3 linked regions of the Arabidopsis thaliana genome follow. The protein of the gene in region 3 interacts with the protein of the main gene of each other region in a pairwise test. Each region holds a gene or a part of one and is shown on either strand. Other genes may lie near its edges.

Evidence for each region.
Region 1: the proteins of HB23 (region 3) and PFN2 interact in a two-hybrid assay, tested with the Arabidopsis thaliana proteins (one large-scale study listed by BioGRID).
Region 2: the proteins of HB23 (region 3) and MBD6 interact in a two-hybrid assay, tested with the Arabidopsis thaliana proteins (one large-scale study listed by BioGRID).

What each region holds. Positions count from the first base shown.
Region 1 is NC_003075.7:14,447,575-14,451,633, reverse strand, and holds PFN2 (profilin 2), read right to left. Parts: upstream 1,747-4,059; 5' UTR 1,500-1,746; coding exon 1,377-1,499; intron 899-1,376; coding exon 761-898; intron 650-760; coding exon 515-649; 3' UTR 240-514; downstream 1-239. Other genes in the region: AT4G29360 (O-Glycosyl hydrolases family 17 protein), read left to right, coding at 1-72; PRF4 (profilin 4), read right to left, coding at 3,167-3,301, 3,387-3,524, 3,785-3,916. UniProt on the Arabidopsis thaliana protein: Binds to actin monomers and regulates the organization of the actin cytoskeleton. At high concentrations, profilin prevents the polymerization of actin, whereas it enhances it at low concentrations.
Region 2 is NC_003076.8:23,950,256-23,954,314, reverse strand, and holds MBD6 (methyl-CPG-binding domain 6), read right to left. Parts: upstream 2,184-4,059; 5' UTR 1,995-2,183; coding exon 1,686-1,994; intron 1,277-1,685; coding exon 1,154-1,276; intron 1,076-1,153; coding exon 830-1,075; 3' UTR 608-829; downstream 1-607. Other genes in the region: ACT4 (actin 4), read right to left, coding at 2,729-2,794, 2,900-3,513, 3,662-4,055. UniProt on the Arabidopsis thaliana protein: Transcriptional regulator that binds CpG, CpNpN and CpNpG (N is A, T, or C) islands in promoters regardless the DNA methylation status. Plays probably a role in gene silencing. May associate with histone deacetylase proteins (HDAC).
Region 3 is NC_003076.8:15,909,392-15,913,450, forward strand, and holds HB23 (homeobox protein 23), read left to right. Parts: upstream 1-1,958; 5' UTR 1,959-2,151; coding exon 2,152-3,156; 3' UTR 3,157-3,469; downstream 3,470-4,059. UniProt on the Arabidopsis thaliana protein: Putative transcription factor. Probably involved in establishing polarity during leaf development through the gibberellic acid (GA) signaling pathway.

The sequences.
Region 1 (4,059 bases), on a different chromosome or scaffold from region 3:
GCATTCAGACAAATGGTGGTTGCAGTCTCTGTTTTGTTGCCGTGTTTTGTAGTTTGTTCGAGTATTTGGTGACAAGTGTGTACATGAATGCACTGTCGCCTTCTTTTGTATGAAGTTTTGAGTAGTGAGCGAACTTAAACTAGAATTTAGCCCAACTGTTGAACTTGGTAATTTCTTTCACCACGTAACCGAAATGTCAAGCTTGGTGATGTATTTGTGACTGAACCTAGAAAATTTTTATGAGCTGATCGAGAACAAATGATCACAAACTCAAATTTTTATTCCAAAGCGTAATTATACATTACGAAATACAGTACAAGAGAAAAACATAAGAGCCATCATAGGAGAGGATCAAAACCATAACAAATATGATTGTTTCTTTGTTCTTTTTAAGAGTATAATAACTTTGTTTGATGCACAACAACAATCAAATCACAATACATGGCAGAAGGGTGCTTCTCTAGTGAAGAAAGAACCCGAAAAATGAAATTTGTTTGAAGCACTTTGAGTGAACTTAGAGACCAGACTCGATAAGGTAATCGCCGAGCCTCTCCACGACCAAGTTGCATTGCCCTCCGGTCATCGGTTCATCATAGATACCAAAGACTAGAGCTTGAGTAGTCTTCTTGATAGTGACTCCACCAGGTCCCTGCAAGAAGTAAGCATGGACTTTAACTTGCTGATCTAAAAGACTGATCCTTTGATTCATTATCTCAATCAAAACCACAAAAAAAGAGTCTTCTCGAATGAAAAATGTTACCTTTTTCCCTCGGATGACGGCTCCAGCCTCACCTTGGACAACCATGTACTTCTCACCGCCAAGGAATAGCCCGGTTGGGGCAAGATGTCCGGCTTCTTCAAAGTCTTTGTTGATTCCTGCTATCTCTGCAGGCTTCAACTAAATACATGAACAAGAACAACAAAGTAGGCAATTAGCTTCAACCGACTGAGCAATGATACTACTACCAATACAACAGATCCTTTACATGGTTTATACAATACTGAGCAGAGGTGACAATTCATATGCAATGACCCTAAGATCTCAAATTCAAGTAAAATACCAAATTTTGAAGAATTTGGTGAAAAGTTTTATCATTTGATGAATTGAAAGGAGATAAGATTCTGTGCCAAGCAAAACACCTATAGACAAGATTTGACTACTGAAACCATGAAAATCTCAGAATCAAACTCCAATCAATCACTGAGAAAATCAGATTGTCAGAGAGAACAAGTCAGAAGCTAGCAAATCAAAACCAGATCCAAGTTTCCTCAGATCGGATCACAAGGAATAAACCTAAATCAGACGATTGAATCAGATCGATGAACTTATTTGAGACAGAGGATCGGAAGAAACGCGAAGAAGAAGGAAGAAAAACCTGAGGGAAAGCTGAGCTCTGAGCCCAGACACTGCCGTCTTGGCCGAAGATGGCGGCGTGTGTGAGGTGGTTGCCTTCGACCTCGCACATGAGATGGTCATCGACGTATGATTGCCACGACATCTTTCTTCTTCTCCGGCGAGATGAGACTGTTTCTTCTTCTTCTTGTTGTCTCTGCTTCTTCTTCTTCTTCCTCTTCTTCTGTAGCGTGCTTTTGGTTTGTAGACTTGGACAACCTTTGAGCTTAAATTATTAATAACACGATTTAGCCTTCCAATAAAAAAAAACTCTTTTTTAATTTCTACTGCAAAAAATTCCATTAAAATACATATTTTATTTATTTACTGAATTTGATAAAGACAGCTAAAAGAAATACCAAAAAAAAAAAAAAAGTAGATACAAATGAAATTCAAAATGTTTTGTGTGAAAGTCGATAAATAATTTTAAAATGATAATCAAAAGAAAATATTTTTAAAATGATTAAAATTTGCATCCGGTTAAAAGAAATGATTTTTTTAATCTATTAACAATTTCATTTCTCGGGTTTTACATTATTTCTACAGTTTTTATTTTTAAACAAGATCATATAGAAAATGCATATAATTCTTGCATGGTATAATTTGATCTAACGCTAAAAGTATATTGAAAATTTGTGTAAATAAAATTGTCAAACCAAATGTGAAAACGTTTTAGATTTTATTGGAACAAATGAAGTTTACATAAATAAACAATACAAAAGTTTTTTTTTCTTTTCTAAAAAAAACAATACTAGAGAATTTAATTTCCAAAATCAAAGAAAAGAGATCGAAGTATGGCCATAATTTGTTTACAGGGTGGATATGCTCTTGCATTGTGTGCCATACACCAAAATATTCCAATTATTTAGGTCCACCCTTTACAATTAATGTTCTCTTTTCCTAATGTCATTGTCAATAAATGTTTCTTAATTACCCAAAATTTAGAAAGATGGTTAATAAACCTTTTTCTATTCCAAAAAAAAAAAAAATGTTTTTGAGTTATTGAAGAGAAACAATCACTTGCTATTGTTAATTTGTTATATGTGCATCGTATTGATTCAAAGTGAATATTGTGAGATAACAAAAATTTCCTTATATCTAAGTGATAATGTAATAATAGGGAAAAAAGACTGAGATTCGATTTCTCGATGAGCTGTTAGATTAGCACATAATAAAGACAGATGGGATGGGAATGATTTTCCGACATAATTGTACTATTATTACTTTCCTATTAAAGATTAAAGTTGATGAATGAATTCTGCCTGTTGCCATTTTTCTTTCTCATGTTCATTTTTTCTTTCTTACGAATGAAATCACTAGGAAAGATTGCGTTGCGTATCAGTTTTTTCTTCTGTTGTAAATAATGAGTGTTGATGTATGTGTTAAATGCTCGTGTAAATTTTGAAAGTGTTTTTAGTATTGTGAGATTAATGTCTCTACTACACTACATACAATTTTCTATAGATTATGATAATGCAATTTTCTCAATCAATACGTTAATATTTAGTGTAGTAGACAGAATGCAATTGACAAAAAAGCAAAGAGAAAACAACTAAAACATGCATATAAATAAGAAACCAAGGCAAAGAGAGTAAAAGCCTTTTAGGCTTCAGCTTTCTTAAAAGTTTGCTATGGGGAGAAACCAGGAAGGTCCATTAGCCCAAAACTTATAATATCAATTAGAGAAAGAGATGCAAATCACCCAAAGGAAAAAAATAGGAGAAACAATGGCCTTATAAAAAAATGTAGGTGGTGGAACATTGTAAGAAGATTCTAGAGACCCTGTTCGAGGAGGTAATCACCCAACCTCTCGACGACCATGTTGCACTGTCCTGGTGTCACTGGCTCTTCATAGATCCCAAACACACATGACTGTCCTGTTTTCTTTATCGTTATGCCTCCTGCTCCCTAATTGAAAGAAGCATATATTGAATTAGAACCCTCTTCAACATGGTATTTGCATATCTGATCATGAAGCTACTGATTAGGTTACCTTCTTGCCACGGATTACAGCCCCGGGCTCACCTTGGATCACCATGTACTTTGCTCCTGCCATGAATAATCCCGTGGGTGCCAAGTGACCCGGTTCGTCGAAATCTTTCATAATATCACTGAACTCCTGTCCCTTGAACTATATGAAAGACCAAATCACGATTAGTCGATTACCATGAGACAACATGCATCATTTGTTTTCAAATCTATGCAAAACATATAAAAAGAAACACACACACACAAAATACACTATATATATATCCCATGACAAACATTGATAGAATCTAATCAAAACATGATGCATGATCTAAATCACATTGTAAAAACACATATCATATCGGATAGCAACACTATCAGGATCTAAATCACATTGAGATCAGACGCAATGAAATCAAATACCTGAGGGAAGTTGGCGCTCTGAGCCCAAACGCTACCGTCATGACCAACGATAGCGGCAGCAGTAAGGTGGTGTCCTTGACCATCGCCAACATCACACATCAAATGCTCATCAACGTAAGTTTGCCACGACATCTTCTTCTTCTTTTCTTATTTTTTTTCTTCTTCTTTGTTTATGATCTATACGTTAAGTGCCCCGGTTATGTGCAGCGTGGGGACTTCGTCCTTCAGATAAATAGGAGAGGAAGGAACAAGGATCATTTTAAAACCGTTGGATC
Region 2 (4,059 bases), 8.0 Mb from region 3:
GCAATACTGTAAATTTTAATAAACAGAGAGGGGAAATGATAGTCAAAAGCCAACAAAACTTAAAACCTTTTCGTTTCACTTTTTTTCAAAAGCTTGGGATACAAGACTAATAAGGAAGCCTCTGGTACACCTAGAAGGTTACAAGACCAAAAATTACTAAATTAGACGATGGGTTGGGAGAGTTCCAATGGCCTTTTTGATAATTTATTGCAGATATTAAATGTGCTACAACCAGTTACATTCGAACCCCACAAATTGTTTGGTTAACAAAATCTAAAATTATGTTTGGGAAAAATATAATTGCGTCTGCCGGGAGTCGAACCCGGGTCTATTGCTTGGAAGGCAATTATCCTAACCGTTGGACTACAGACGCTTCTTGTCTTGTATCAGTGCAGTATTGTTGATGTTTCTTCTTATCCATTAGATTTAGATAACCTGAGCAGGTGAGACATGTCAAGCATTAGTTCTTGAATTACGACACTGGTTTCACAAAGAACAAGATCTTTTCCTAAACACAAAGTAAAAGACTTTGGAACACAGAATAGTTCAGTATCAAAATGTCTAAGAAGAATAGCTTTGTTACTACGACAGTGTCTTCAATTTCATCAGTCAAAAGTCGAATGGTTATCACGTTCCAAAAGCAAACACAAAGATGCATATCCCCTTATCATATTCTTCCAAAAACCGCTACAAAAATTATAGTACACATAACTTGATGATTGATGAATGAAGACTAAACAAGAATTATCCAATTAAGTAACCCTAACATATCTGTGTATCTTACCATAGATGCAACAACCCAAAAATCGCCACCAGGTCATCATAGTCTTCAAGCCGACACTTTACTAGGGTTTCGGCTTGTGATAAAGGTAAACGCAGTGCTCCAATCTCGTCTCACTGAGTCTTGAACCTTGACGTCCCCAATATTAGGTATCCAACCTTCTTCTCCTGCGTTTGCCATAGACCAGCTTACCTTGTCTGGTGGATTCTTAAAATCAAAGTCCAATGGCGGTGGCGGAGGTGGAGGCACTGTAGCGGTTCTGGTGACTCTATTGCTTCCTTGGCCTTCAAAATGCTGCAAATGCAAAATTCAATACACATCACAGGTTTGAAACCAGGGTGAAAGGTTTAATCTTTAAGCATGTAAACTCACGTCTGGATTGAAATATGTATTCTCAGCTTTCTTGGTGCCTCTTTTAGAAGTTCCATGTTCCAAGTAGTACAGCACCTCAGTCCTGGACCGAAACTTACGTCCTGTATTTGGTTCGTAATAGTACTGCAAAACCAGATAAGAAAATGTCACAAGTCTACACATCAATATCTACACCCATATTAGCATCGAGTATAACAACACCAAAACTTCATCTCTTCAATCACAATATATACCAAACCAAACCATCTAAATCCACCTGATAAATCAAAGTAACACTAATCACACTGATAAAGTGTATGATTCAAGTCCCAATACACCATTAACATAATCTAAACAAACTCATTAATGCTTAAGCAGAACCAACCACATCATTTTACTACATCATTACACTTGTCACTACTTTAAAGGCAAGATTTTTAAACCAAAGAGAACAAAACAACAGCAATCAAAGAATCCTCAATTTGTAGTCTTCAAGCAACAACGCAGCTCAAAACTTCATAGAGAAAAGCAGAGTCAAGCTGAGATTCTTTACCTTATCCACCGAACCAGCTGTGGCACCGGAAGTTCGAATCTTATCTTCAACTCTCCAACCAGGAGGCAACCAATTATCTCCAGGCGCCGCACGCTTCCGCGACTTCGATTCCGTCTGATGATTCACCTGATCAGTGCCGTTAGCCATCCCGATGCGTACGCTCTCTCCCGAACCAGAAATTCCGATTCCTCCCTGAATCGGTCGTCGTTTCGCACTACTGTCTAGGGTTCCGTCACCGGCGGAGGAGATGAAGGCTCCGGAGGCGAGAAGTGGATCGGGAGGGAAATCGCCGGCCACAGAATCTGACATACGAATTAGGGATTTGTCTTCACCAATGAGCAATGAGATCGCAGATTTTAACGGCGACGATCTCGAGAAATGGATTCTCCGTCGCAGCTTCTGTTTCTGGGTTTACGATTCGGTTCGGTTAAACCGAGATCGAATAAGAAATTAAAATTTAGTTAACCATCAACAATTCGTTTCTTCTTTTCTTTACCAACAAACATAATAAACACGTTTTATTACTAAATGAAACATTTAAACTCATCTTCTCATCACTAATCCATCAGTTTAACATTTTGTGTTGTGTTTATTGACACTTATTAGACCACATCCATTTAACCGAGTAATCTAAGATTTAGTGAGTTTCGACAATATGCATTTATATGTCACAATTGTTTGTACTAGATCAACATTATGGAGCTTGTTTTGTGTTTGATACGGATGTCTTTGAAGTATATTAGTCACAATTGTTTAACCATCACAAAATCTCTTTTGAGTAACAAATAAATTAAGTTTAAAATAGAAAATATAATAATTGAAATTAGTCGCTTATATATAGTACATTGGGAGTGGAAATTGTTTAAAGAAAAGTATGCTTAGTTGAAAAATTAACATAGAGAGGCTATTCAAAAAAAAAAGGATAAAAGAGAGATTAGAAAATATAATGGAAAAATGTGGCATTTGGTAGTAATCTCAATGTTTTTAACCTTCTGTCTTTTACTTTTACTTCCGTCTTCGTTTGGTGATCTTAGGAACTGTGATTAGAAGCATTTCCTATGCACTATTGAGGGTCCAGATTCATCGTACTCTGCTTTCGCAATCCACATCTGTCAAGTTTTCAAACACATACCAATATTTATATCAAAACAAACTTATGAATGTTATATTATACATGATCAAATAATAATAAAAATGTATATTAATGTGTTCACCTGCTGGAAAGTGCTGAGTGAAGCCAATATAGAGCCACCGATCCATACACTGTACTTCCTCTCCGGTGGAGCCACGACCTTAATCTTCATACTACTTGGAGCCAAAGCCGTAATCTCTTTGCTCATTCTATCACCAATCCCTCCAAACATTGTGGTTCCACCACTTAGCACAATGTTACCATACAAGTCTTTCCTAATATCCACATCACATTTCATGATAGAGTTATATGTGGTTTCATGGATTCCTGGATTTTCCATTCCGATCATTGACGGCTGGAACAGAACTTCCGGACACCGGAACCTCTCTGCTCCAATGGTTATCACTTGTCCATCAGGAAGCTCGAAGCTTTTCTCAACGGACGAGCTTGTTTTGGAAGTCTCTAGCTCTTGCTCGAAGTCTAGAGCAATGTAAGAGAGCTTCTCTTTCATGTCTCTAACAATTTCACGTTCAGCAGTTGTGGTGAAGGAGTATCCACGCTCTGTGAGGATTTTCATGAGGTGGTCCGTGAGGTCACGACCTGCTAGGTCAAGACGTAGGATTGCGTGTGGGAGAGCGTAACCCTCGTAGATTGGTACCGTGTGGCTCACACCATCTCCAGAGTCCAAAACAATACCTAATCAATAATTTGCAAAAGAACCAATTAGGGTTGTCCATAAAAGCATAACCAAATAGTCCTTAAAATAGTTCATATTATTTAAAATCAAGCATGAAAAAAAACTGGTTATAGATTGGATCAACACAAATATAAGTGTGTTACTGACCAGTTGTACGGCCACTGGCATAGAGTGAGAGAACAGCTTGAATGGCAACATACATAGCAGGAGTATTGAATGTCTCAAACATGATCTGAGTCATCTTCTCACGGTTAGCTTTCGGATTGAGAGGAGCTTCGGTCAAGAGAACCGGATGTTCTTCAGGGGCAACACGAAGCTCATTGTAGAAAGTGTGATGCCAAATCTTCTCCATGTCATCCCAATTATTAACAATTCCATGCTCAATTGGGTACTTCAGAGTCAAGATACCACGTTTTGATTGAGCCTCGTCTCCAACATAAGCATCCTTTTGTCCCATCCCTACCATCACACCCGTGTGGCGAGGACGGCCTACAATGCTCGGAAAAACCGCTCTTGGTGCATCGTCACCCGCGAATCCGGCCTAA
Region 3 (4,059 bases):
TTGGAAATACATTTGTCTAACATTAAAATAATTTATACCAATAAGTTTATACTTAGTTACTTGCTAAATCAAATAAAGTGATGATTAGTGATTACATATGCCTATGATTACAAACAAGTGTAACTATGATTTATGCTTCGAACCCAATCATTTTGAGACGTTAGAAAGGGGTAATTTGGGGTCTTCAAACTTCCTTCTTGAATTTGTCTATTTTATACTCAAGTCCTCGGATGGGCTGTTCTGAAATCACTATAGTTGCATGTGTGCAATAACCCGGCCCATAAAAATTAATGCCAATTGTATTATTCCATTAGCCCATTAAGTCATCAATCATTACCACTAAATCTGCTATAAGATTAGCTTCTCTACCTCTAAAGTCTAACCAAAAAGAAAGTCGAAGATATCTTCATCGTTTGCATGTAATCTCCTTTACATGACCATGAAGTCCTTCTACCCATTATGTTTTGGGATTGCATTAATTAAGAACAGAATAGCACTCTCCCCAAAAGAATTCTTTGGAGCCGCAATTATTTAAGCAAAACATTGTCCGTGGATGATTCTTTACGAACGGGCCGTGATAGTTGTGCCAAGGAACATCTCTGTGGGAGAATTCAAAGCTAGTAGGATTCAAGCTCAAATGGACTTATTAAGCTAGGTAGAAATAATAGAAAGATTGAAATGAAATCGCTTATAAAAACTTTATTATGATGCAATTAATAGAAAAGAAAAAAGACTTTAACTTGTCAACAAGAATACAATGATTCAAAATTGATATTTTTATAAGGGGTTTGTGCAAAAAAAAATCATAATTAAGTCGCTAATTTTTTCAACTTTACCATTAATCTCTACAAAATACATAATAATCCTATAAAATACAAAATAAGACGCAATATAGCCCTATACATATATTGTAAATGTTTCTATGATCACATACATTTGCTTTTTAAAATTGTGAAAGTAGAGTTGGACTCCTCGTCTCGAAGATTTTAATTTGATATATTATTTATCAAAATTTTAAAAATTTAACTATAACAAAAAAATGAAGCTATATTGCATATTATTTTTGATTTCATACAATTATTTTGCATTTTTTTAGAGATAGATGATAAATTTGTAAAAATTGACGTCTTTGAAAGTTATTTTTGCACAAAATTCCTTTTATAAAGAAAAAGAAAAAAATTTGTTTTGAGACAACTCTTAAGATTACCTTACAATACATTGATATTTAAAAACAAATTTATATGAATCTCTAGTAGCTATCACCCTAGTTACATTGGCTAATGGATTTCTCATAATAGTTTTGGATCCTCTAATAATCTCTAGTTTTGGATCCTCTAATAATCTCTAGTATATGAAGGACGGAATTTCGATCATTGCTCTCAACTTGTTCATCAAAATCTAGCAAAATTGACATTTTCCGTCGAATATCACCCATATAAACTTAACCATAGTGGAAACCTAAAAATTCACCCCCAACTTTTACAAGAAAGTGATCTTTCTCATTCCTTCATTTGAAAGGTTTGACCTTAACGTTTTTGTTGTAGTCGAAGGAGTATCTTTCACAACATTGCTGATCTTAGAACAAATGTAACCCATTATTACCATAAGACTTATTTTTTCTTTTTCAGTTTTGACTTGTGCCTTTATGTTTAAGACACTAGTAGCCACATTTATTACGCTTTTTCACCGCAAAATTTAACACGCACTCTCTTTGTCGATCCCACAAACTCCATCTACCTAACCATGGTTAAAAATCATCAAACCTTGGTTCCCTTGATTAAAATATCCCTAAATCCAAGTCTCTTTATTATTTCATTTAAAATCATAAATTTAGTTTAATACAATTGTCCTTTTTCAAAATATTATTTCTTTATTTGCTTCAGCAACAGTCGTCATAGTCATCATATCATTTTCTTCTTTTCCTCCTCTAAACGAATATTACCAATAAAAAATCAAGTGGAAAATATGTAATATTAAAAAATCTCCAACAGCTTAAGAAGTTAGAACCTTTTTACTTATCTTTATTTCTTCTTCTTCTTCATTTTTCTATTCACATTCTCTGAAACTCATACCATATTTTCAAAGCTCTTAACCCAAAAACCCTAAGTCTTTTTTTTCTTCAAATTATTGGTTATATTAATGTTTTAAGCTATGATGGATATGACTCCTACAATAACAACAACAACAACACCAACTCCTAAATCACCCGAACCCGAATCCGAAACTCCGACCCGGATCCAACCGGCGAAACCCATTTCCTTTAGCAACGGCATCATCAAACGCCACCACCACCACCACCATCCTCTCCTCTTTACTTACAAAGAATGTCTCAAAAACCACGCGGCGGCTTTAGGTGGTCACGCTCTCGACGGTTGCGGCGAATTCATGCCGTCTCCGTCGTCAATCTCCTCCGATCCAACTTCTCTCAAATGTGCTGCTTGTGGCTGCCACCGTAATTTCCACCGCCGTGATCCAGATAACAACAACGACTCTTCCCAAATCCCTCCTCCTCCTTCCACCGCCGTAGAGTATCAACCTCACCACCGTCATCATCCACCACCACCACCACCTCCTCCACCACCACGTAGTCCTAACTCAGCTTCTCCTCCACCAATCTCTTCCTCTTACATGCTCTTATCTCTCTCCGGTACTAATAACAACAACAACAACTTAGCTTCTTTCTCCGATCTTAACTTCTCCGCCGGAAACAACCACCACCACCACCACCAACATACTCTTCACGGATCTCGTAAAAGATTCCGAACAAAATTCAGCCAGTTTCAGAAAGAGAAGATGCATGAATTCGCCGAACGTGTTGGTTGGAAGATGCAAAAACGTGACGAAGACGATGTTCGTGATTTTTGCCGGCAGATCGGAGTTGATAAAAGTGTTCTCAAAGTTTGGATGCATAACAACAAAAACACCTTTAACCGCCGTGATATCGCCGGAAACGAGATCCGGCAAATCGATAACGGCGGAGGAAACCACACTCCGATTCTCGCCGGCGAGATTAATAACCATAACAATGGACACCACGGTGTCGGAGGAGGAGGAGAGCTTCACCAGAGTGTTAGTAGCGGCGGTGGTGGCGGAGGATTTGATAGTGATAGCGGCGGAGCTAACGGTGGTAACGTTAACGGATCATCGTCGTCGTGAAGTTAAAGATGAGAGTGTCAGGTTAATAAGAAGCTTAGAGTAAGCTTATTCGTATTATCATCGTTAATAACTTTCTATTAAATATTAATTAAGATCTTTAGCTTTGTTTGTTTTTGCATTATTATTAGTTTTGATTTAATGTTCTTTACCACGTCGGTGTCTCGCTCGATGAGGAATAATACCATAACAATGTTCGAATTATATCATTTGTTGTAAACATTTCTATTAATGAACCCTGAAATGTGACTAAGTACTCCAATAAATGGTACACTTTTGATGTGGTAATCTTGTTTCGGATGAAGAAACAAAAAGATTAATAAACGAGTGAAACATGATTAGTTACTATAAATATTCATTTGGTTTCTTATCTTTTAAAGTACTCTTCTTAATTTTATTTGCAACCAAACTAGATGTAGTAGGTGTACTTTTTTTCTTTCTTAGATCCTCTTAATTTTATTTTATTTTTTTATTCTATATCAAATGATTAGCCATCATTAGTATATTAGTAGCATTGTTGTTAACACCCAGTGTTTTCACGTCCGACCCGGACCGTCCGGTCCGACCGGTTGAACCGTGACCCGAACACTTTTCCGGTTTGGGTTTAGTATTAAAATCCAACAAGTTCAAAACCGAAAAAACCCACAAAAACTCATCATTAACCCGTGACCCGATGAACCAGTTGAACTGGCCGGATGTGGGTTTTAAAAAATTCTCTTGATTTTGGAATAAAATATGAGATTTTAGACTTTATTCAATCAATTTTTAGATATTTTTCAGTTCTTAAACCCATTTGATGTTTAAGATTTTGATGAAGACTTCACAATGCCGCCTTAAAAAATGAATCGAATGGTGAGTGAGATATCCGATATTAGTTGTGTGAATTCACGATGTTTTATTAGTTTA